Sus scrofa: one gene and its partners. The protein of the gene in region 1 purifies or fractionates together with the protein of each later gene. This does not show direct contact. Links are inferred from orthologs where the notes say so. Each region holds a gene or a part of one and is shown in the gene's direction. Other genes may lie near its edges.

Evidence for each region.
Region 2: the proteins of TNFAIP3 (region 1) and MTOR purify together in Homo sapiens (affinity purification with western blotting, with the first as the bait; 3 studies listed by BioGRID). This does not show direct contact. The link is inferred for Sus scrofa from reciprocal best matches to the Homo sapiens genes TNFAIP3 and MTOR.
Region 3: the proteins of TNFAIP3 (region 1) and TNIP2 purify together in Homo sapiens (affinity purification with western blotting; 5 studies listed by BioGRID and IntAct, with this or other methods). This does not show direct contact. The link is inferred for Sus scrofa from reciprocal best matches to the Homo sapiens genes TNFAIP3 and TNIP2.

What each region holds. Positions count from the first base shown.
Region 1 is NC_010443.5:26,485,408-26,492,142, reverse strand, and holds the start of TNFAIP3 (tumor necrosis factor alpha-induced protein 3), read left to right. Parts: upstream 1-2,371; 5' UTR 2,372-2,722; intron 2,723-2,735; exon of another isoform or gene 2,736-6,189; intron 6,190-6,290; 5' UTR 6,291-6,305; coding exon 6,306-6,600; intron 6,601-6,735. UniProt on the Homo sapiens protein: Ubiquitin-editing enzyme that contains both ubiquitin ligase and deubiquitinase activities.
Region 2 is NC_010448.4:71,405,161-71,411,795, reverse strand, and holds part of MTOR (serine/threonine-protein kinase mTOR), read left to right. Parts: intron 1-1,279; 5' UTR 1,280-1,293; coding exon 1,294-1,455; intron 1,456-2,395; coding exon 2,396-2,504; intron 2,505-3,224; coding exon 3,225-3,457; intron 3,458-5,155; coding exon 5,156-5,356; intron 5,357-5,988; coding exon 5,989-6,123; intron 6,124-6,635. UniProt on the Homo sapiens protein: Serine/threonine protein kinase which is a central regulator of cellular metabolism, growth and survival in response to hormones, growth factors, nutrients, energy and stress signals.
Region 3 is NC_010450.4:1,550,784-1,557,518, reverse strand, and holds the start of TNIP2 (TNFAIP3-interacting protein 2), read left to right. Parts: upstream 1-2,841; 5' UTR 2,842-2,948; coding exon 2,949-3,227; intron 3,228-6,735. UniProt on the Homo sapiens protein: Inhibits NF-kappa-B activation by blocking the interaction of RIPK1 with its downstream effector NEMO/IKBKG.

The sequences.
Region 1 (6,735 bases):
GCGGCGTAAAGAAATAGCAAAAGACAAAAAAAAAAAAAAAAAAAAGAAAAGAAAAAAAAAGAACCTCTCCTTCTACATTCTGCCTGCCTCTTCCACTCTTCATTTCTGATCTACCACCAAGAAAATGCTTACAGATCTTGCCCATGGTTATGTATCAGAAAGGGCTCTAACTTATAGGGCAGGAAAAACAGCAAAAACTAGAGAAGAGCAGGACTAAGAATTCGTCCTCACAGAGGTCATCACTCCAGTGGCAGATGCGTGGAAAATGGGGGTAGAGCTAAACCGAGGGTAACCAACCACCACTGCCTCTGATTGCTATTACCTTGTCACAAATCCTGCCAGGCAAGATGTTAGAGTCACAACGTCGGGGCAATTGGAAGTGACAGATATGACCACGGTCTGTCAGCTTGTTACCCCTGGTACCGCATACTTGACTCATGAAACCAGGCGGCATGAAACCAAAAAAGGGGCAATGAAAGCAACAGGAGCTGAGGGGCCAGAGCCAGACGAAGATCAACAAGAGCAGGCAAATTCTGTTTCCAAAGGAGCACAAGGGGAGAGTGGTCTGAGGATTGAGGGTGTTCTTTTAAATACATCAACTTTCACCATCTCAACTGGCTGGGGAAGTTTTCCTGAGGATGGAACCAAGGCCCGTCTGGTTCCCAGGTCCATGTTCTCTTCCAGCCTGGGGTCCATGTTTGGCTAAGTAACTGCTGGGACCAGGGTGCAAATAGCAGCCCTGAGATTTTAAATCTTGTAGGATCTTCTCTGAGAGTGACGATTCATAGTTGGGACCAAACAGTATGGGCTTTGGAGTAAGGCAGGCCCAGTGCCAAGCCCAGCTCTGCCACTGGCTGATTGTATAGACTTCCAGGCAAATGGCTTAAGCTTTTGAACTTCAGTTTCTTTATCTGCAAAGTGGAGTTGTGAGGTTTAAATGTCAGAATCCCTTGCAAATACTTAACCTGCAGCCTGGCCTATAGCAAGGACTTGATAAATAACATCATTATCATCATCCCCATTATTACTATTATTATTATTATTATTATTATTATTATTATACTAGCGTGACTACCCATTGTTTGAGTGTTGGCAGCTGAAAACATTTGTGAATGAGAAGAGGACAGATACTAGGGCTGAAATTGTAAAAAAAATCCCAACCATCGGTTTCAAATACCAGCACCAGTCTCAGGACCTTGTCCATTACTCTCTGCTCTAAATGCCGTTAAAAAAGTGCCACCCTCCACCCAGCCCCCACCCTAGCCTCTCTGGGTCCTTACTGAAGGAAGTATAGTTTTCTAGCTCAAAACTTGAGATACATGGCCTGACAAGTATACCTAACAGACAGTGATAGAGAATACTTCAGTCTGGCTCTAGCTTAGTCATTCTAGAAAATGAGGCAAGAAGGACACCAAGGCATTTAAAGGGCCTAGAGCCCCTTCCTCCACAGTTCATGTCCCCACACTGCCCAGGGAGCCTGCACCTGTCTCCACAGTGCACTCCCCCCCCCCCCCCCCGTGAAGACAGTGAGGCCAGCGTGGTATTTAATAAGGAGGGGGGGGTAATAAGTATTATCAGCCATTGGCATCCTGGGGTGGACTATTTATCAAGACCCCTAAGAAGACTCCCAGTAAGGCCTTACAGGGGACGTGGCAAGGACAGTAACAGACTAGAAGCACCTAAACTGAAATGCTACCTGAATGTGAGGTCACCTGGGCCCCTGATGTGCAGAAATAGAGAAGAGAAATCAGTCAAGTGAGAGACGAGGTTGGTAGTGGTTCTGGTTCCTAATTTGATCTGACTGGCTTTGCCCTTGCGAATTTCAGGGCCAGGAGGTTTCCGAACTGCATCCCACTAGCTTGGGTCTGGGGCCAAGGGACTTGGCTGCCTCTTTTTCTTGAAATCCCCCCCTGAGGCCCAGCGTAGGGCTCTCCCCTACAAGCACATCACGTGCGTAGCCCAAGCTTTGCAAACCCAGCGGAGGCCCGCCGTCCTGGGCGCCAGGGTGGTTTTTAGGGTTTTCTCTATGATTTCCCTTCGTGTTCTTCACAGTTGATGATTTTCTGCAGAAAAACGGCTGAGAAAAAGAACCTATTTCATTTCCAGTTCCCATCACTGCGATTTCCACATGGATGTGACGTTGAGCCCTGCTTCCGAAATGCCCAGGTGACTCACGCGGGGACACCCCGGGGCGGGGCGCAGGAGTTTCTCGGGCGGAGGGCGGGGCGGCGGACGGGGCGGGGCGGCGGACGGGGCGGGGCGGGGCGGGGCGGGGCGGCACGCGGCTCGCCTCCTGCGCCTCCTGCGCCCCCTGCGCCCCCTGGCGGCGGGAGACCCAACAATGCTGCCATCCGCTCGGGCTCCGGGAGCCCGGCCCGGCGTCACGTGACTGGAAAGTCCCTGGGTGGAAATCCCCTGCTGTCCGCGGGCGGTAAAACAGAAAGGGAAAAAAGAGAACTGGCAGTCTGCAGCCTTAGTGGCGGCCAAGCGCTGCAAACTAGGAGGCCGCGGGGGCGGAGCGGCTCGAGCGGCTGTCCGGAGAACAGCCGCGGCGGCAGCTGGCGAGATCCACACCCCCGGCCGGCGGCCAGCAAGCGAGCCCCGAGCGGGGCGTCCATGGGGCGCCGCCTGCATCCGACCCCTACCGTGACCCCAGGCTGCGGCGCACGCCTGTCCTGACTTGGACTTGGGATTTCGGCAGCGGATCGCGCGGCCGGGAGAGGTAACCGCCGTATCCCCGCGCCGTCCGCCACGGGCATCCCGGGGCGAGAGCTGCGGGTGCGAATTGGGCAGCCACCCGCGGGGCTGGCCTGGTCGACCTGGCCCTGGGTTTGCAGCTGTCCCGGAGGGTAGTTTGTGGGCCGTTTGTGCCACTGTTGGTTCTGAACTGCTGGGAGTGGAGGTGGCCGCGCCAGATGTTGGAGTGACAGCATGGATTCCTCCAGCCAGCTGTTCCTTGCAGATAATGCGGAGAACTTGAATGGCAGCTGCCTGGGGAGCGTTGCCCTGGACCGCTTGGTCCGGGTTGTCGTTGGTGCTTTGCCCTTCGGCTTGTCTTTTTTTTTTTTTTTTTTTTTTTTTTGGAATCAAGCGCTGCATGCTTAAGGCCACGTAGACCTTGAGAACTGCTGTGGCCGCTTTCCAGTTTGTGCAGCACCAGCCCAAAGGAGTGGGAGGTCGCAGGGGCAGCAAAACTTGGGGGGTGGGGGTCAGGGGGGCCCAGACCGCTAAGCTTTCTGGGGACCGCTTGCAGACTCTCAGCAGCGTCAGAGAAGTATGTATGTAGCAGCGGGTCTTCGGCTTGCCTTTGGGGGGAGGGCGTGGGGGAGCTCCAGTTTAAAGCATCTGCAGGCCCCTACCCCCGAGTCAGACTGCCTTTGTCAGCCGGGGTCGTCCCACATCCTGCCACCTGGCCTTTCAGGAAAGCCGTAGTATTAAGTAAGGAAGGAGCTCAGCTCTTGTTGAGACCGCTTTGTTTTCAGTTCTCCCTGCCTCTGATCTTCTTTCCTTGGAAAGCTGCTCTGGTCAAGTGTCTCAGGGCCACCTTTTGGGAGAATCACTGTTTAAGAGTTCTCTGGACTACAGCCCCACTCTTCCAGATGGTTAAGCAGCCAGTTACTGCTTCATTCTCCGTGTCTAAGGTGTATCTTACTTTTTTTTTTTCCAATTCTTAATACAATTTTTGAATGAGGGGGGTACTTTCCAAAACTTCGATGGGGTGATTTGGATGAAAAAAGTCAGTGAAGGTAACAGAAGGGTGCAAGAAATGTTAAGGGCAGTATTGTTTATCTTTGCCTATAAGGACATTACAATCATAGCTCAGAAATTCTTTATCATGGGTCAGATTATTCTTTAATTATAAGTACGGAGAAGGCCAAGTTCTGGGCACTTGGGCAGTGAGTTTTGATTTCTTTTAAGGAGGCAATTCTGCAGGCCATTCGAGGTTGAACCAATGAATGAGATGACACTGGGCTATGAAATATTGACGTTTGCATGTCTGGCCTATGATTGCAGCTCTTACTATTTGAGAGCTTTGCTGAATGATCCTAGGTGCGGAAAATAATAGGAGAGTCTGAGAAGCAAAAAGAGGCAACACCTTGTTTCAGACCTTGCTCTTGCCTGTCTGTTCCCATGTGGGAGCAGCAGGCACTGCAACCACAGGTGTGGTGTTGTGAGCTGAGCAAGGGGGCAGGTGTTGGAAGACTTGGCTTCCAGGCAGAGCCCTGCCCCTGCATGACATGGGACCTACCTGAGCAGGACCAGTACTTGCGTTGCTGTAGCAAGAGACCTAGATGGTCATGAGATTTCAAGCCCAGGAAGAAGGGCGTCTTTGATCTTTAGCCTCAGCATCAAGCCTGGGTCTTGATGGTCAGGCAGTGGTCATATGTGGTCAGGTGGTGCTTGGTGAGTGATGGATGGACATGTGAATGACATCGTGAAAGCAACTTTTGCCATGCCACAGAGGGGAAGTGTGTGTGATGTTTTTGTCCCTTCTCTGTGTCTGTGGTCCTGCCATGATTTTGTTTAATTCCACCTGCAGAGAATGTCTGACATCAAAGGAGAGATTGCCATTTGACCCTGAGAATGACTTTTTCCGGGCTTCAACAGCTGTCAGATTAGGAATCCCGATCTAAATCTACCACCAGAAAACTCCTCAGAGGCAACCATGGGGTCATCCAAGCCACCTCTCCCCTTTGAGTGGCCCATGCTCACTTAGACCATTTTATCAAGGGTGCCTCCACCCACCCAGCACTGGCTCTCCTATAATCTAGGTTTTTTGCCTCCCTCTTAGGTTAGTTTAACTTCTATCTCAACTAGAGGCTTGCCCTGGCCAATGGTATGATGCAGGAGTGGGATTTGGGGGTTTGGGGGATGCAAACTGCTATATTTGGAATGGGTGGGCAGTGGGGTCCTACTGTACAGCACAGGGAAGTGTGTGTAATTGGGTCACTTTGCTCTGCAACACAACTTGATGAAATGTTGTAAATCAAGTCTACTTTAATAATAATGAAGGAAAAAAAAAAAAAGCAACTGCAGGGAAACTTCCTAGGGCCTCTGTAGATATTCTGAAACTGTCTTTGTCTTTCTCTTGGAAATCAGGATGGATGACAGGGCACCCTACTAAGGGTCAGTGACTGCAAGCTGGTGCTCCGCACTGCTCTGTGCTCTAGAGATCCCGCCTTATGTCAGTTCGCATCATTCCACATGGTTGCCTTGGGTTGGAAATGCTGGTTTTTGCCCTCCTTCTCTTTCATTTGTCCCGAGTGGCCCCTCTGTCTGAAACGTCTTTCTTGGTCTGCTTTCAGACTTTTATTTCTTTCCACCAGTGTATTGTGCTTGACAATATCAGGTGCAGACAGGGTGGAAAATGCATCTGAGGGTTGGTACCTGGAGGACGATAATAAAATTTGGTTGGCAGTTGAGTTGATGTAATTGAGCTCCACTATCTGCTCTTGGCAGTGTGGAATTTATCATTCTATTATTGCCATATTGTTATTATTAATTTCTTATTCTGATGTTGTAAAGTTCAATGGAGGGGTTCTGAAAGATGGCTGATGGCTCGTAAAATTGCAAAGCATCTTGCTGGAAATAGGCTTTTTTGTTGGTTGTAAAACATTCAGTTTAATGCTTTGTATGTTATAGTACATTTTATAAGTAAGCACTTTATAAGTATTTCTCTTTGGGACTGAAGAGGAAATTCTAATCAGCAGCCTAGGTGGCAGCATAAAATTGCAGGACTTTTTACAAAATATTTACTGCCTTTTGCAGTGGGGAGGTGGGGATGCGCTTAAAAGAGGCAAAGCAAGACTTTGCCTAAGAGCAGGGTTGCTTGGTGGTGCTCTTAGGAGAGAAAACAGGCTCGTCAGGACTCCGTTGTGCCTGTAACTGCATTCAGGGCTCCTAAAATCCAGTGGCTGCCCCAGAGCAGCATCGAAGTGAGATGGGAGCTTGGGTTGGTCACTAGACACAGTACCTGTTGCTGACAGACAGGCTTGGCTCCCTGACAGACGTTACTGAAAACACGGGTTATTCCCCTCCTCCTCAGTACCCACTCCCCGCCTTCCTTCTCTTGTTTAGACTAATCTTTAAAAGTGATGTAACTTACAACAGTCCAGTGTGAGTTAATCTGTGGGGCCAGCTAGTATCCTGGGAGCAGAGGTGACTAAGATCTTTTGCCTCTTGATTAGGGTAATGACAAGATCAAACACTGGGGTTTCCTGCAGGCAGGTATATAGGAGCCCTATCAAAGTCGAGCTAACGGAATGGGGTTTTCTTTCCCTCCTCTTCAGGCCTTGTAGAGCACCATGGCTGAGCAACTCCTTCCCCTGGCTTTGTATTTGAGCAACATGCGGAAGGCTGTGAAGATAAGAGAGAGAACTCCAGAAGATATTTTCAAACCTACCAATGGAATCATTCACCATTTTAAATCCATGCACCGATACACTCTGGAAATGTTCAGAACCTGCCAGTTTTGTCCGCAATTTCGGGAGATCATCCACAAAGCTCTCATCGACAGGAACATCCAGGCCTCCCTGGAAAGCCAGAAGAAGCTCAACTGGTGTCGAGAAGTGAGGAAGCTTGTGGCACTGAAAACGAATGGTAAGACTTGCTTTTGTCAGTGGGGTGGCTCCCAGGATGCAGGGTCCCATTCATTAAAAGGTGGTAGCTCTTATTTGAACCCAAGCTCAAATCTCTTGAGGCCATAGATAACCTTAGTAGAGAGGCTCTCTGAGG
Region 2 (6,635 bases), on another chromosome or scaffold:
TGGAACAAATGCCTGATCTCAGGAACTAATTAGTCTTTTTTTAGCTTACATTCCAAGTACTAGTCTTTATGGAACTGCGCTGTCCAATACAACAACCACAGGTGGCTTAGAGCACTTGAAAATGTTGAAATTGCTAAGTTGAAATTGCAGTAAGTGGAGTTTCCATTGGGGCGCAGCAGAAATGAATCCGACTAGTATCCATGAGGATGTAGGTTCGATCCCTGGCCTCACTCATTGGGTCAGGGATCCTATGTTGCCATGAGCTGTGGTGTAGGTGACACACACGGCTAGGATCCCATGTTGCTATGGCTGTGGTGTAGGCCGGTAGCCATAGTCTGATTTGACCCGAGCCTGGGAACTTTCATATGACGCAGGTGCAGCCCTAAAAAAAAAAAAAAGAAATTGCCGTAAGTGAATATATCAGTAATTTGGGGGGGAGGGAGGCAGTGGGCTGTGCCCACATCAAGCATCAGTTCCCGGGCCGGGGATCGAACGTGCGCTACAGCTGTGACAGTGCTGGATGTGTAACTGCTAGGCCACCAGGGAACACCTGTCATAACTTTTTATATTGTGACATGTTGAAATGATATTTGGATATATTGGAGTAAATAAAATAACTAATTTTGCCTGTATCTTTTGACCTTTGCTATGTGGTTACTAGGAACTTTAAAGTTACATTTGTAGCTCGTATTTCTGTCAGACCCGTGCTGCTATAGAATAACAATCAGTTTCCCTCTCTAAAGTGAATTTGAGGAGAGGGGCAGTCTTAGGCTTGCTTTGTTTTCTCTCACGCTCCCCATCTCTGCTACCTGGCTCTGTGCAACGTACAGAGTAGTAGTAATAATAATAATATTAACCCAGCAACTATTGCAAACTCACTGTGTGCCCAGCACTATGTTAAGCACTTTTTAACATGTATTAGCTCGTTTAATCTTCACATCAGTCCTCTGAGTTAGGTACTCTTATCCTCCGATTATAACTAAGATATTTGAAGTGTCTTCCTTGAGGTATATAATTTTGGACTGGATTCACACCCAGGTAGTCTGGCTGCACAGCCCATAGCATAATTTGACCTTCTCTGCTCTGCTGCCTCTTTCAACACCCGTGGTTATCAAATGAATTGAGGCTTTCTGCATGCTTTTCATTGGGGTCTCCCAGCCTTTTTAGGATCCCCAGCCTGATGTGGATGAGTGGAGGCCTGTGGGGGGAGGTGGGGCCATAGATTAGTTCACCGCCATGGTTTGTTATCCAGAATATTAAAGCCAGCTTCTCTCCAAAGAACCTCAGGGCAAAATGCTTGGAACCGGACCTGCCGCCGCCACCACAGCGACCACCACTTCCAGCAACGTGAGCGTCCTGCAGCAGTTTGCCAGTGGCCTGAAGAGCCGGAATGAGGAGACCAGGGCCAAAGCTGCCAAGGAACTCCAGCACTATGTCACCATGGAGCTCCGAGAGGTTGGAGCTGCTGCGGTTTGGGGCCCTTCATCATGGCCTTTTGGGGCTGCATGTGCCATTCCTGGTTTAGATGCCTCTTGACAGCTGATTGAGGGCTCAGAAAAGGCAAAGATTCTAGTTTAGAAAGGCACCCAATTTCTCAGGTCTGTAGAATGGGCAGGTTCCTTTGCCACAGTTCCACATTTCTGTGGCATTTCCTTTCTTGTGATAGTTTAGGAGTCAGAGTAGAATTGGCTGTTCCGGGAGTTCCTGTCATGGTGCAGCGGAAACGAATCCGACTAGGAACCATGAAGTTGCGGGTTCGATCCCTGGCCTCACTCAGTGGGTTAAGGAACCACGTTGCCATGAGCTGTGGTGTAGGTGGCAGACATGGCTCGGATCTGGCGTTGCTGTGGCTGTGGTGTAGGCAGCGGTTACAGCACTGGTTCAACCCCCAGCCTGGAAACTTCGTATGCCTCAGGTGTGGCCCTAAAAAGACAAAAAAAAAAAAAAAAAAAAAAAAGAAAGAAAGAAAGAAAGAAAGAAAAAGAATCGGCTGTTTCTTTTAATTTTTTTCTTTTTCATGCCACATTCCAGGCTTTTGAATCTTTCTGCCTGATAACATGGGTTGGGATGGGTTTGAAGAGTTGATTGCTTGGGGCTTTTCAAATAGAGGCCAGACCTGAGGTAGGGACAGTGTCTTTTTTGGCCTTGTACCCAGGCTACCAGGTAGAATCTAGGACAGGACATGGCCTCCCCTTGAGTAGATACACAGTAGGTATTGGTTAAGTAAACAGATGATTGCTCTACGGTTTAAAACAACAGAGATGGTCAGCGGCTGTGTCGTCTTCGGTTAACTGCACCTGCTGGCCACCTCTTGGGTTCTGGTCTTCGAAAGGCACCCCACGCCCCCACCAGCAGGGAACATTAGACATTGCCCTGAATACGTCTTCCTTTACAGATGAGTCAAGAGGAGTCTACTCGTTTCTATGATCAGCTGAACCATCACATTTTTGAACTGGTTTCCAGCTCAGATGCCAATGAGAGGAAAGGCGGCATCTTGGCCATAGGTAAGGACAGGGTCTCTGGCACAGTAAGAACTGGACATCCAGGACTGTGTCCTTTGTGTCCACTGCACTCCGTGTCTACTACTTACTGGATCCTCACTTCATATTTGTTTAATGAATTCTAAGGAGACTTGTGGCTTTCAGTTGCTTATTCGGCTATTAATTTTAACCACAGTCCTGGGCAAACCCAAGGGCAAAGAGGGTTTTTTTCAGACATGGAGCCTCAGAACCACTAAGCGACTTTTCCAGGGCTGGTGCGCCAGAGCTGAGGCTGGAAGTCAGCTTTCTTCCTGCTACCCTTGTTGCATTTTGCAGGCTCTTGTTTCTCTCTAGAGCCAAGTTTGGCAGAGCAGAGCTCAGAAATGGAAAAGTAGAGTTGAGGGGACTGTGAATAAAAGGCAGATAATTTCAGCTCATGGGGACTGGTTATCCATCCTGTGAATTATTATTCAGTCCTGGTTTGTTTTCCTTTTCTTCTTGGGAAACCTGTATATGCTAAAATATTAAGATGAGATCATTTTGCTTTATCTAAGTAGTTCTGGTCCAAACATTAAGTCTGTTTGTTAAAATGGAATGGAAATTATTTGCCTCCTCACCAGCTGGAAATTGCAGTCTGTGCTTAGAGTAGGAGGAAGGGGTCCCTCGCTAGCTTTCCTCTGAAGACAGTGGACCTCCGTGGACCGCACATGCCCGACTCATCCTCTGCCTTCCTCTCTTTGCCAGCCAGCCTCATAGGAGTGGAAGGCGGGAATGCCACCCGAATCGGAAGATTTGCCAACTATCTTCGGAACCTCCTCCCCTCCAATGACCCCGTTGTCATGGAAATGGCATCCAAGGCCATTGGTCGCCTCGCCATGGCAGGAGACACTTTTACTGCAGAGTATGTGGAGTTTGAGGTGAAGCGAGCCCTGGAGTGGCTGGGTGCTGACCGAAACGAGGGCCGGAGACACGCAGCTGTGAGTACCTGTGGAGCCGTGGCCTCGTGTCAGGTCCTTCCCACCATGTGCCCAGGTCCCTGAAAGGCAGAGAATGAGAGCGGATGCTCCGGGCAAAGGCCCTGTGCTTCTTGGTTCAGGGTCTGTCCCGAATCCCTTTCTCTCTTTACCCTGAGCTCCCCACCTGCAGAGGAAACTTAATGTTCTCTTTATTGCTTGAGAGGCAGCCCTCTGTGCAGTGCTTCTTCTCACCTTGACTTTCCAGAATCCAGATTGCCTCCCAAGGAGTTCCCTCATGGGAACAGCAGGTTAAGGATCCAGCGTTGTCGCTGCTACGGCTCTGGTTACAGCTATGGTGCAGGTTTCATCCCTGGTCCCCAGGAACTTTTGCATGCCATGGGTGCTGCCAAAAATGAATACATTTTTATTTATTTATTTATTTATTTTTGTCTTTTTGCTATTTCTTTGGGGCCGCTCCCACGGCATATGGAGGTTCCCAGGCTAGGGGTCGAATCGGAGCTGTAGCCACTGGCCTACACCAGAGCCACAGCAACGCGGGATCCGAGCCACGTCTGCAATCTACACCACAGCTCACGGCAACGCCGGATCGTTAACCCACTGAGCAAGGGCAGGGACCGAACCCGCAACCTCATGGTTCCTAGTCGGATTCATTAACCACTGCGCCACGATGGGAACTCCTATGAATACATTTTTAAAAAAGAGAGAAATAAAAATGCCTGTCAAGCAGAAGGCAGCCCTCAGCCATAGACAAGTGAGGAAGCCACAAGCCATGAGGCTTCCAGAGCCTCAGCAGCTGTGCTGTCCTCAGGACCCCTCCGTCCAGGGCTCCACGTTGGTGGGAACGTGGGGAGCGGGGCTGAAGGGAGGAAGGAGCAGAGGAAGTTGGTGCCCGATCCCCACATTCCCTGGTCCGCCTCTGCCCAGGCCTTGCCCATCTGCGTTTCGGTCCTTTGTTGATTGGTTGGTACGTGGTCCAGACTTCCTCTTTCCAGCAGGCTGTCCTGCATTGGAGGGAGTGGTGGCTTTCCAGCCTCTTCTACACACACATCCTCATTGCTCTCTGAGGCCCGTCCCTGAAAAAGGCTGCTTTGATGGGCTAGGGATCCAGGCTGTGAGATGGGGGAGGATCTGTCCATGGGAGAGAAGCTAGGAATGAATGTGGTGGGAAGGCATCAGCTGGGTCCCTTCCAGTCGGGTCCCTCGTTAGGGGGCTGCCCCAGGAGCAGGGAGCCTGCCTGGGGGAGGGGCCCGCACTCGGACTCGGGTGCCACCTCCTAACTGTGACGTGGGGCACGCTGGGACCCTCAGTTTTTCCATGGTCAAATGAAAATATAGCAAGATGAAATGTGAAACAGGATTATCGTTCATTCCGTAAATGTTTCTTGAATACCTGCTCTATTCCGGGCATGTTCCAGGCTGTCCACGGAGCAGTGTACAAAGCATTAAAGGCGGCTCCTTTCAGCGCTCGTGTTCTAAGGCCACATGCCTTCTGTTGCTAAGCACCCTGGGACAGTGAACCCTGAGATGTCTGATAGCTTTACTTCCCTTCCTTGGTCCCCAGAATTTCCGAGCTAGAAGAGTAGGCAGGTGTGCTCTTTTCCTAGCAGATGTCGGCTCTGGGGTGACACGAGGCTGTACCCCTGAGAGACTAGACCTCGTTGATGCAGATGGAAGGTCTCCGTGTGTCTCTCCTCCCAGGTCCTGGTCCTTCGTGAGCTGGCCGTCAGCGTCCCCACCTTCTTCTTCCAGCAAGTGCAGCCCTTCTTTGACAACATTTTTGTGGCTGTGTGGGACCCCAAACAGGCCATCCGGGAGGGAGCTGTCGCCGCGCTCCGTGCCTGTCTGATCCTCACCACCCAGCGAGAGCCAAAGGAGATGCAGAAGCCGCAGTGGTACAGGGTGAGGAGACGGATCCATTCCAGTCACCAGCCCAGCACGTTTGCCTGGAGGCACACCGAGCCCGAGGAGCAGCAGCAGGCCCCTTGCCACAGAGCAAGCGTCATGTCTGTTTTGGTCTTCAGTAATTTTTTATGCGCAATATGAATGAATAGTTATTTTATTTTATTTATTTATTTTTTCTTGTCTTTTTTAGGGCTGCTCCTGCGGCATATGGAGGTTCCCAGGCCAGAGGTCCAATTGGAGCTGTTGCTGCCAGCCTATGCCAGAGCCACAGCAACGCCAGATCCGAGCCATGTCTGCGGCGTACACCACAACACCCGATCCTTAACCCCTGAGCTAGACCAGGGATCAAACCTGCAATGTCACGGTTCCTGGTCGGATTCGTTTCTGCTGCACCACGACGGGCACTCCAGTTTTTTGTCTCTTGAGTAGAGATGGTTATGATGTCTGCCTCGCGGTATTGCGAGGGCTGACGCCAAAGGAAATGAGGGAGCTCCATGAGCTGACACCATTGGTGACGCTGGCACGGGGCCCCAAGCAGCCACAGCGACCTCAGGACCCCGTGTGGCTGGGTGGGCCTGCTCTCCCGCTCTGGGCAGTGGGTGACTCGGGCATTCTGGGTCTCCCCGTAGCACACGTTCGAAGAAGCAGAGAAAGGGTTTGACGAGACCTTGGCCAAGGAGAAGGGCATGAACCGGGACGACCGGATCCACGGAGCCTTGCTGATCCTCAACGAGCTGGTCCGCATCAGCAGCATGGAGGGAGAGGTGAGTCACGCGGCGGGGCCGGGCCTGGGCCGCCCCGCGCCGCTGTGCCAGCGCCTCGGAGAGCCGCCGTGCTGTGGGGGGAGCAGGCAGAAGACCAGCCGGTGCGATCGGTGCGATCGTGTTGGACGGTGGCGCGTTCTGGGAAGAAATGAAGTGGAGGGTCTCGGGGAGAGGGCGCGGCTCCCTGCCTGGGGGGTGGCATTTGGGCCAAGACCATGTGACGTGGAGGACTGGCCTCACAGCGCACGCGCGCGAGGGCAGGGAGATCACTGTCTTCCAGGCAGAGGCTTTGAGCTGGAAGAGAGTTTGACACGTTCAAGAAAGAAGGGCCGTGGGGCTGGTGCACCCAGCATAGGAGAGGGAGGGGGCCCGGGGTCGGGGGCCTCCTGGCTCCTGGTCGACGCTGGGTCTCGTGCTCCTCGCCGAGAGACTCGCCCAGAGGATGCTGTGACGGCGGCTGTTTTTAACGGTCATCGGCTCCTTGCGGGGAAGGGCCCGTGGAGAGGCAGGCA
Region 3 (6,735 bases), on another chromosome or scaffold:
CCCTCACTCTTCTTGGAACGGGACAAAAGCTCTGTGCAGAGCCCGATCCCCCTCCTTGCCCACCCTAGGCCGCACTCCAGGACATCCGCCTAGGCCGGTACCCGCTGATTCAATTCTGTGCCGGCTCCTTCTCATCCTGGGGGTCCTGCAGCTGGGGGTCCCGATCCCTCTGGTCACACTCCTGTTTCTCCTTCTTAGCCCCGTATTTGTTTTCTTTTTCTTTTCCTTTCTTCTTTTTTGCTGCACCTGCAGCATATGGAATTTCTTGGGCCAGGGATTGAATTTGGGCCACGGCTGCAACCTGTGCCACAGGCATGGCAACACCAGATCTTTAACCTGCTATGCCACAGCAGGTACTCTCCCTTATTAAATGATTTTTATTTTTACCTCTTTCCTTTCCAACAAAAAGTTTCCTGATTTTGTAATTTTTTTGGAAAGGAGGTCTGTCTCCACCATTAGAATTTTTGCCCATGAATACCCCATGCCTGACTCAGCCCGGATTTTAGCTGAAGATATGAGCGGGTGGGGTACTTCCTCTGTTAACTTGAATCTGCACAACACCTGTGAGGCACTTGCTGTTGGAATTCTGCCAGCCCTCGTCCACAATTCAGGAATCCAAAAATCTCAGAAACCCAAATGTTTTTCTTAAACTGGTTGTTTAAGAAATCTGAATTGAACAGCTCTAAGGCTTTTCATGATCTTTATCTCAGTTTGAATGGTCATCTTATCTATTTATTTAAATTTTTTTTTTTTTTTTTTGCCTTTTCTAGGGCCGCTCCTGCGGCATATGGAGGTTCCCAGGCTAGGGGTCCAATCGGAGCTGCAGCCACCGGCCTACACCACAGCCACAGCAACGCCGGATCCTTAACCCACTGAGCAAGGCCGGGAATTGAACCCGTAACCTCATGGTTCCTAGTTGCATTTGTTCACCACTGAGCCATGACGGGAACTCCTTTTTTTTTTTTTTTTTGTCTTTTTAAGGCCACACCTGCAGTATATGGAAGTTCCCAGGTTAGGGGTCGAATTGGAGTTGCAGCTGCCAGTCTACACCGCAGCCACAGCAACTCGGGATCTGAGCCTCGTCTATGACCTACACCACAGCTCACGGCAACGCTGGATCCTTAACCACGGAGCGAGACCAGGGATTGAACCCGTGTCCTCATGGATACTAGTCAGGTTTGTTTCCGCTGCCCTACAACAGGAACTCCCGGACAACTTCTACATGTCAGGAATTTGGGTGGCTCTGGCTCAGGGACTCCCATGAGGCCCAGGCAAGGTGTTGGTAGGATGGAGGATATCCTCCCAAGGTGGGCCATTTACTCTTGTGGGTGAGTCGATGCTGGCTGTTGGCACGAAGCTGCATGTCTTCATCACATGGGCCTCTTCACAGGGCTACCTGAGTGTCTTCATGACGTGGCGGGGGGCTTCCTCGGAGCGAGTGATCTAAGAGAGGCCAAGGTAGTAGCTACACGGCCTCTAGTGACCTAGCTGGAGAAACACCATGACTTCTGCAGCATCTTCCTGCTTGCACAGGGCAGCCCTATTCAGAGTGTCAGAGGTGAAATCACAAGAGTGAACACCGCGAGTGGGATTCTTTTTGGATGCTGGCCACCCCGATGATACACAACCTATCTCAAATCCAAAGGTTCTCAATTTCAAAGTACCTGTGACCCCCAGAATGTTACATGAGACACTGGGAGCCTCTTCTACAGGTGAGAACCAGACAGCTGAGCGGCCTGTGGAAGGTTACACTTAGAGCAGTGGAGACCCGCCCGGCTCTGATGCCAGCGCCAGCTGGTTTTCTCCATCACTCCTTGAGTCGACAAGAACGTGTCTTTCCTGACCTCAGCCACGTGGACGGCGGGCTTGCAGGGGCAGGTGCTGCAAATTCCATCCTCTAGTCACACAACACGCCTGTGGGTTGGAAGGAGCCACTGGACGCGATGTCTCTCTGCAATGGAGGACGTTTGTCCATCTCTCCATCTGTCTGTCTGTCTGATTCTGCAGGCTGGTGAGTGCTTTCCCTGGGCTCAGCCCAAGCTTGGGCAGGGATTACAAAAAACACACCATGCTGCTCTCAGGGGGCAGGGCGAGGAGGGGAGTGCAAGCAGTAGGGCAGGGACCTGCAGAGGATTCAGTGTGGGAGGGCAGGGGGGCGCTTTGAAAGACCACAGGTGTGGTTGGGCATCATGGTGGAGCAAACTCAGACTTTGAAAAAAAACAGCTGCAGAGTCACGGAAAAATCTTCAGGATTGGTCTGGGCAGTTGGGGGGAAGGAAAAGAATGGAGAAATAGGGCAGGAAAGAGGGCGGATGCAGGGTCTAGAGTCCTGCTCTGGGCACTGCCCTGTGCCCTGGTGGGTAGGGCACCTCGCTGGGCTCAACTCCTGAAAGTCGCCCTTTTCCTATTGCCCGACGTGGCCAACCCGCCTGCAGCCCGGGGATTTGGACCCAACTTCAGGGTTAATCCTTGGGGTCGTCTTTGAACCAGGGCCCCAGCAGCGACCTGAACCACTGCAGTGACGACATGGGATCCAACCCGTCGAGCCACACAGGAATTCCTGGCTCCTGTCCCTTCCATCAGTAGCTACATCAGAGACCGCTCAACCCCTCTCCTCAACCGAGCGTACTCTCCAAAAACTGCCCCCACGCGGGGCGACTGGGCGGCTGGGACAGGCGAGGCACCCCCGGGTGGACGGAGGCGGAATGGGGACGGGCGGGGCCCAGCGCTGGGCGGGGGCGGGGCCCAGCGCTGGGCGGGGGCGGGGGCGGGGGCGGGGCCCAGCGCTGGGCGGGGGCGGGGCCTGGACGCGCGGCGCGGGGCGGGGCCCGGGGGTTCCGCGGGGGGGCGGGGCGCGCCGGGAAAAGTTCCGGGAAGGGGGGCCGCCCGCCCAGACCCGGCGCGGAAGTTGCCGGCGGGCGCGCGTCTTCCCGGACAGGCCCGTAGCCATGTCGTCCGGGGGCGCGGGGTCGGGCGGGCCGGAGGGGGCCCCTCGCGCGGCTGCCGCGCTCTGCGGCCTGTACCACGAGGCCGGGCAGCGGCTGAGGCGCCTGCAGGACCAGCTGGCCGCTCGGGACGCCCTCATCGCGCGCCTGCGCGCCCGTCTGGCGGCGCTTGAGGGGGACGCGGCGCCGTCGCTCGTGGACGCGCTGCTGGAGCAGGTGGCGCGCTTCCGAGAGCAGCTCCGGCAGCAGGACGGCGGCGCCGCGGAGGCCGCGCTGCGCCAGGTGCGGAGCCGAGTGGGCGGGGGCCGCGTGCGGCTGGCGGAGCTCGGGTGGGCAGGCCGGGTCGGCGCTGCGCCGCGGGCGGGCGTCGGCGGGTGGCCCCTGAGGGGCGTGCGCGCTGGGGGCCCGGAGGGGTCGCTGGGCTCTCGGGTGTGGGCTGCTAGCCGGGGTCTGGGCGCCCTGTGTGCCGGCGGTCAGGCTGCGGGGTGCGTGTGAGCGTCTGCGGGCTGTCGCCGTGTTGGGTCTGGAGGGTGTAAGTGTAGCTGCTGAGGGGCGCGCGTGTCCCTGTCGGTGCTGAGGGGGCGCGCGTGTCCCTGTCGGTGCTGAGGGGGCGCGCGTGTCCCTGTCGGTGCTGAGGGGCGCGCGTGTCCCTGTCGGTGCTGAGGGGGCGCGCGTGTCCCTGTCGGTGCTGAGGGGGCGCGCGTGTCCCTGTCGGTGCTGAGGGGGCGCGTGTCCCTGTCGGTGCTGAGGGGCGCGCGTGTCCCTGTCGGTGCTGAGGGGCGTGCTCCATGTTGGGTCTGAGGCGTGTGTGTCGAGGTGGTTCTCAGGGATGTGTGTTCATGTCAGCGTCTGCGGTGTTACCGCGTTGGGTCTGAGGTGCGTGTACGTCTTGGTTCTGGCATTGTGAGCCTGTCTTAGGTTCTGAGGGGTGTGCTCCCGTAGTGGGTCTTAGGGCGTGGGCCCTTTTTGTGTCTGAGGGTTGTGTGTCTGTGTTGATGCTGGCTGTATTTATTCCTGTGGGGTCTGAGGTGTGTGTGTGCCCCTGTGTAGAGTCTCGGGGCTGTCTGCTCCCCTCGTGGGTTCCGAAGTTGTGTTGAGGGATCTGTGTGAATGTGTTGCTTCTGAGGGTTATGTGCTCATTTTGGTTTTGAAGGTTGTGTGCTTATATTGTGTCTGAGGGTTATGTGTGCTCCTTTTGGTTCTAAGGGGTATGTTTTCATGTTGCTTTTGAGGTGTGTATGTGCGTGTTGGTGTCTGAGGAATATGTGTGTGTTTCGCTAGGGTCTGTAGGTGATGGGTCTGTGTTTGAGGGGTTTGTGCCTGTATTGGATTCTGATAGTTGTGTGTTCATGGTGGCTCTGAGGGATGTGTGTCCTTGTTGGCATAGTTGAGTTGTGAGTGATGTGTGCCCATTTTGGGTGTAAAAGGTGTTTGTCCATATTGGTTCTGAGGCATGTGCGTGCCTATGTTGGATCTGAGGTGTGTGTCCTCATGTTGGATCTGAGATTTGTGCATCCTTGATGGGTTGAGGAAAGTGCCCATGTTGGTTCTTAGGAGTCCTTGTTGGTTTTCAGGAGTGTGTGTGCCCATGTTGGTCTGAGGGTTATGAGTCTGAGTAGTGTGTCTGTGTTAGGTGTGAGGGGTGTGTTTGTGTTGGTTCTGAAGTACATCTGCATGTGTTGGGTTTGGAGTGTGTATTTCCATATGGGTCTGAGGGGAGTGTATGCTGGTTTCTGAAGGATATATGCCTCCGTTTTGTGTTCTGAGTGGTGTGTGTGTGCGTGCGTGCGTGCGTGCCTGTTTTGAGTTCTGAGTAATATGTGTGCCCATTTGGGCTCTGAGAGATGTGTATGTGTGTTGGTTCTGAAGGTTGTCTATCCGTGGTTTTGAGGATTGTGTGTATGCCAGTGTTGAATCTTGCAGTTGTGTACCAGTTGAATTCAGGGGGGTCTGCTCCCATGTTGGGTGTGAGGGGAATGTGTGCCTGTGTTGGGTTTGAAGGGTGTGTGTCCATGTTGGGTTGTGGGTTGTGTGTGCTTCTGTGGTATATGAGATGTGTATGCCCTTATGTTGGGTTCTGAGGGGTGTGTTCACCTGTGTTGGGTTTTGAGTTTGTGCTCATTTGGATTGTGAAGGATGTATATGCGTGTTTAGTTCTCAGGGGTCTGTTGCTGTGCTGGGTTTTGAAGAGTGTGAGTGCCCATATTGGGCTCTCAGGGGGGTGTGTGTGTATCCATGCTGGGTGTGAGAGGTGTGTGTCTGTGTTGGGCCTTAGGGATGACTGTGCATGTTATTTGTATTTGTGCACAAGGAAGTTTCTGTGTGTGTGTTCATGTTGAGTTCTCCTTTGTGTGTATAGACATTGGGCCTGGGCACTGGGTTCAGGGCCTGTGAACCCTAGTTGTGTTCTGGGGTGTCTTTTAGCCCTGGTCATGAATGTATTTTTCAATAGTAACACATCTCTTCTGCTGGGAGTGATGACAGAGTGGGGGCCTGCCAGTGTCTGATGATAGACTTAGGTCCTTACTTTCTCTCCTTCTTATCCTTGTTACTGATATTATGTTATATGATATTGAAATACCACAAACACTCAGGTCAGGAGCAAGAGTAACAGTATTTTGCTGTAACAGCTATTTGGAAGTGCCCCAGACATTTTTGGTGAACTCTGGTCTGTTATCCCATTTAGCCCAGAGCTATTATCCAGGTTTTCCCAGTACAGAAGCTAGGCCTGCAAAGGGAATAGTCTGCAAAAGATAATTTTCACTTCCAGGTTTGGCCCTGCAGTCAAATTTTACATTGAAAAAGAAACATACCTATTTTTCTTTTTACAAAAGTAATTCTTTTCTTCCTTTCTTTTTTTTTTTAAATGACTGCAGGGATTGAATGAGCCATAGCTGTGACCTACATTGTAGCTGTGGCTCCGCTGGATCCTTTAACCCACTCTGCCAAGCTAAGGATCAAGCCTGCGCCTCCATAGTGACCCAAGCTGCCGCAGTTGGTTTCTTAGCCCACTGTGCAACAGTGGGAACTCCATGAAAGAAATTTTGTTTATCTGAAAAATAGAGGAAAGCATAAAGAGGAGTTCCTGTTGTGGCTCAGTGGTAACAAACCCAACTAGTATCCATGAGGATGTCGGTTTGATCCCTGGCCTCACTCAGTGGTTTAAGGATCCAGCGTCACTGTGAGCTGTGGTGTAGGTCACAGACGTGGCTCAGATCCTCTGTTGCTGTGGCTGTGGTGTAGGCTAGCAGTTGCACCTCTGATTTGATCCCTAGCCTGGGAACTGCCATATGCTGCAAGGGTGGCTCTAAAAAGACAAAAAAAAAAAAAAAAAAAAAAAAAAGAAAAAGAAAAAAGAAAAAAAGGAAAGAAAGAAAGAAAAAAGAATAAAGACAAAAAGAATAAAACAACCACCGTAATCCCACCATGGAGGACAACCAGCATTAACCTCTTGGCATGCCTCTTTCCTGTTAGTCCTTTAAATATAGGGTATGTAAACACTTGGCATGGTTGAATTTGTGCTGTCTATGCAGTTTTACTTAATATCATGTCACTATTTTATTTATTTATTTTTTCTGGCCGTGCTGCAGCTTGATGTGGGATCTCAGTTCCCACCAGGGATCGAACCTGGGCCACAGCTTTGAAAGCACTGTTTTAACCACCGTATCACCAGGGCACTCCAGTATTTTCTTATATGCATCATTTTAAATGCCTTCAGAAGCCAGATGTCCCCTTCACTCCAGCTTTCTCCCTGTTCCTAAGGAAGGTGGATTATAACTTGTCAGGGTGG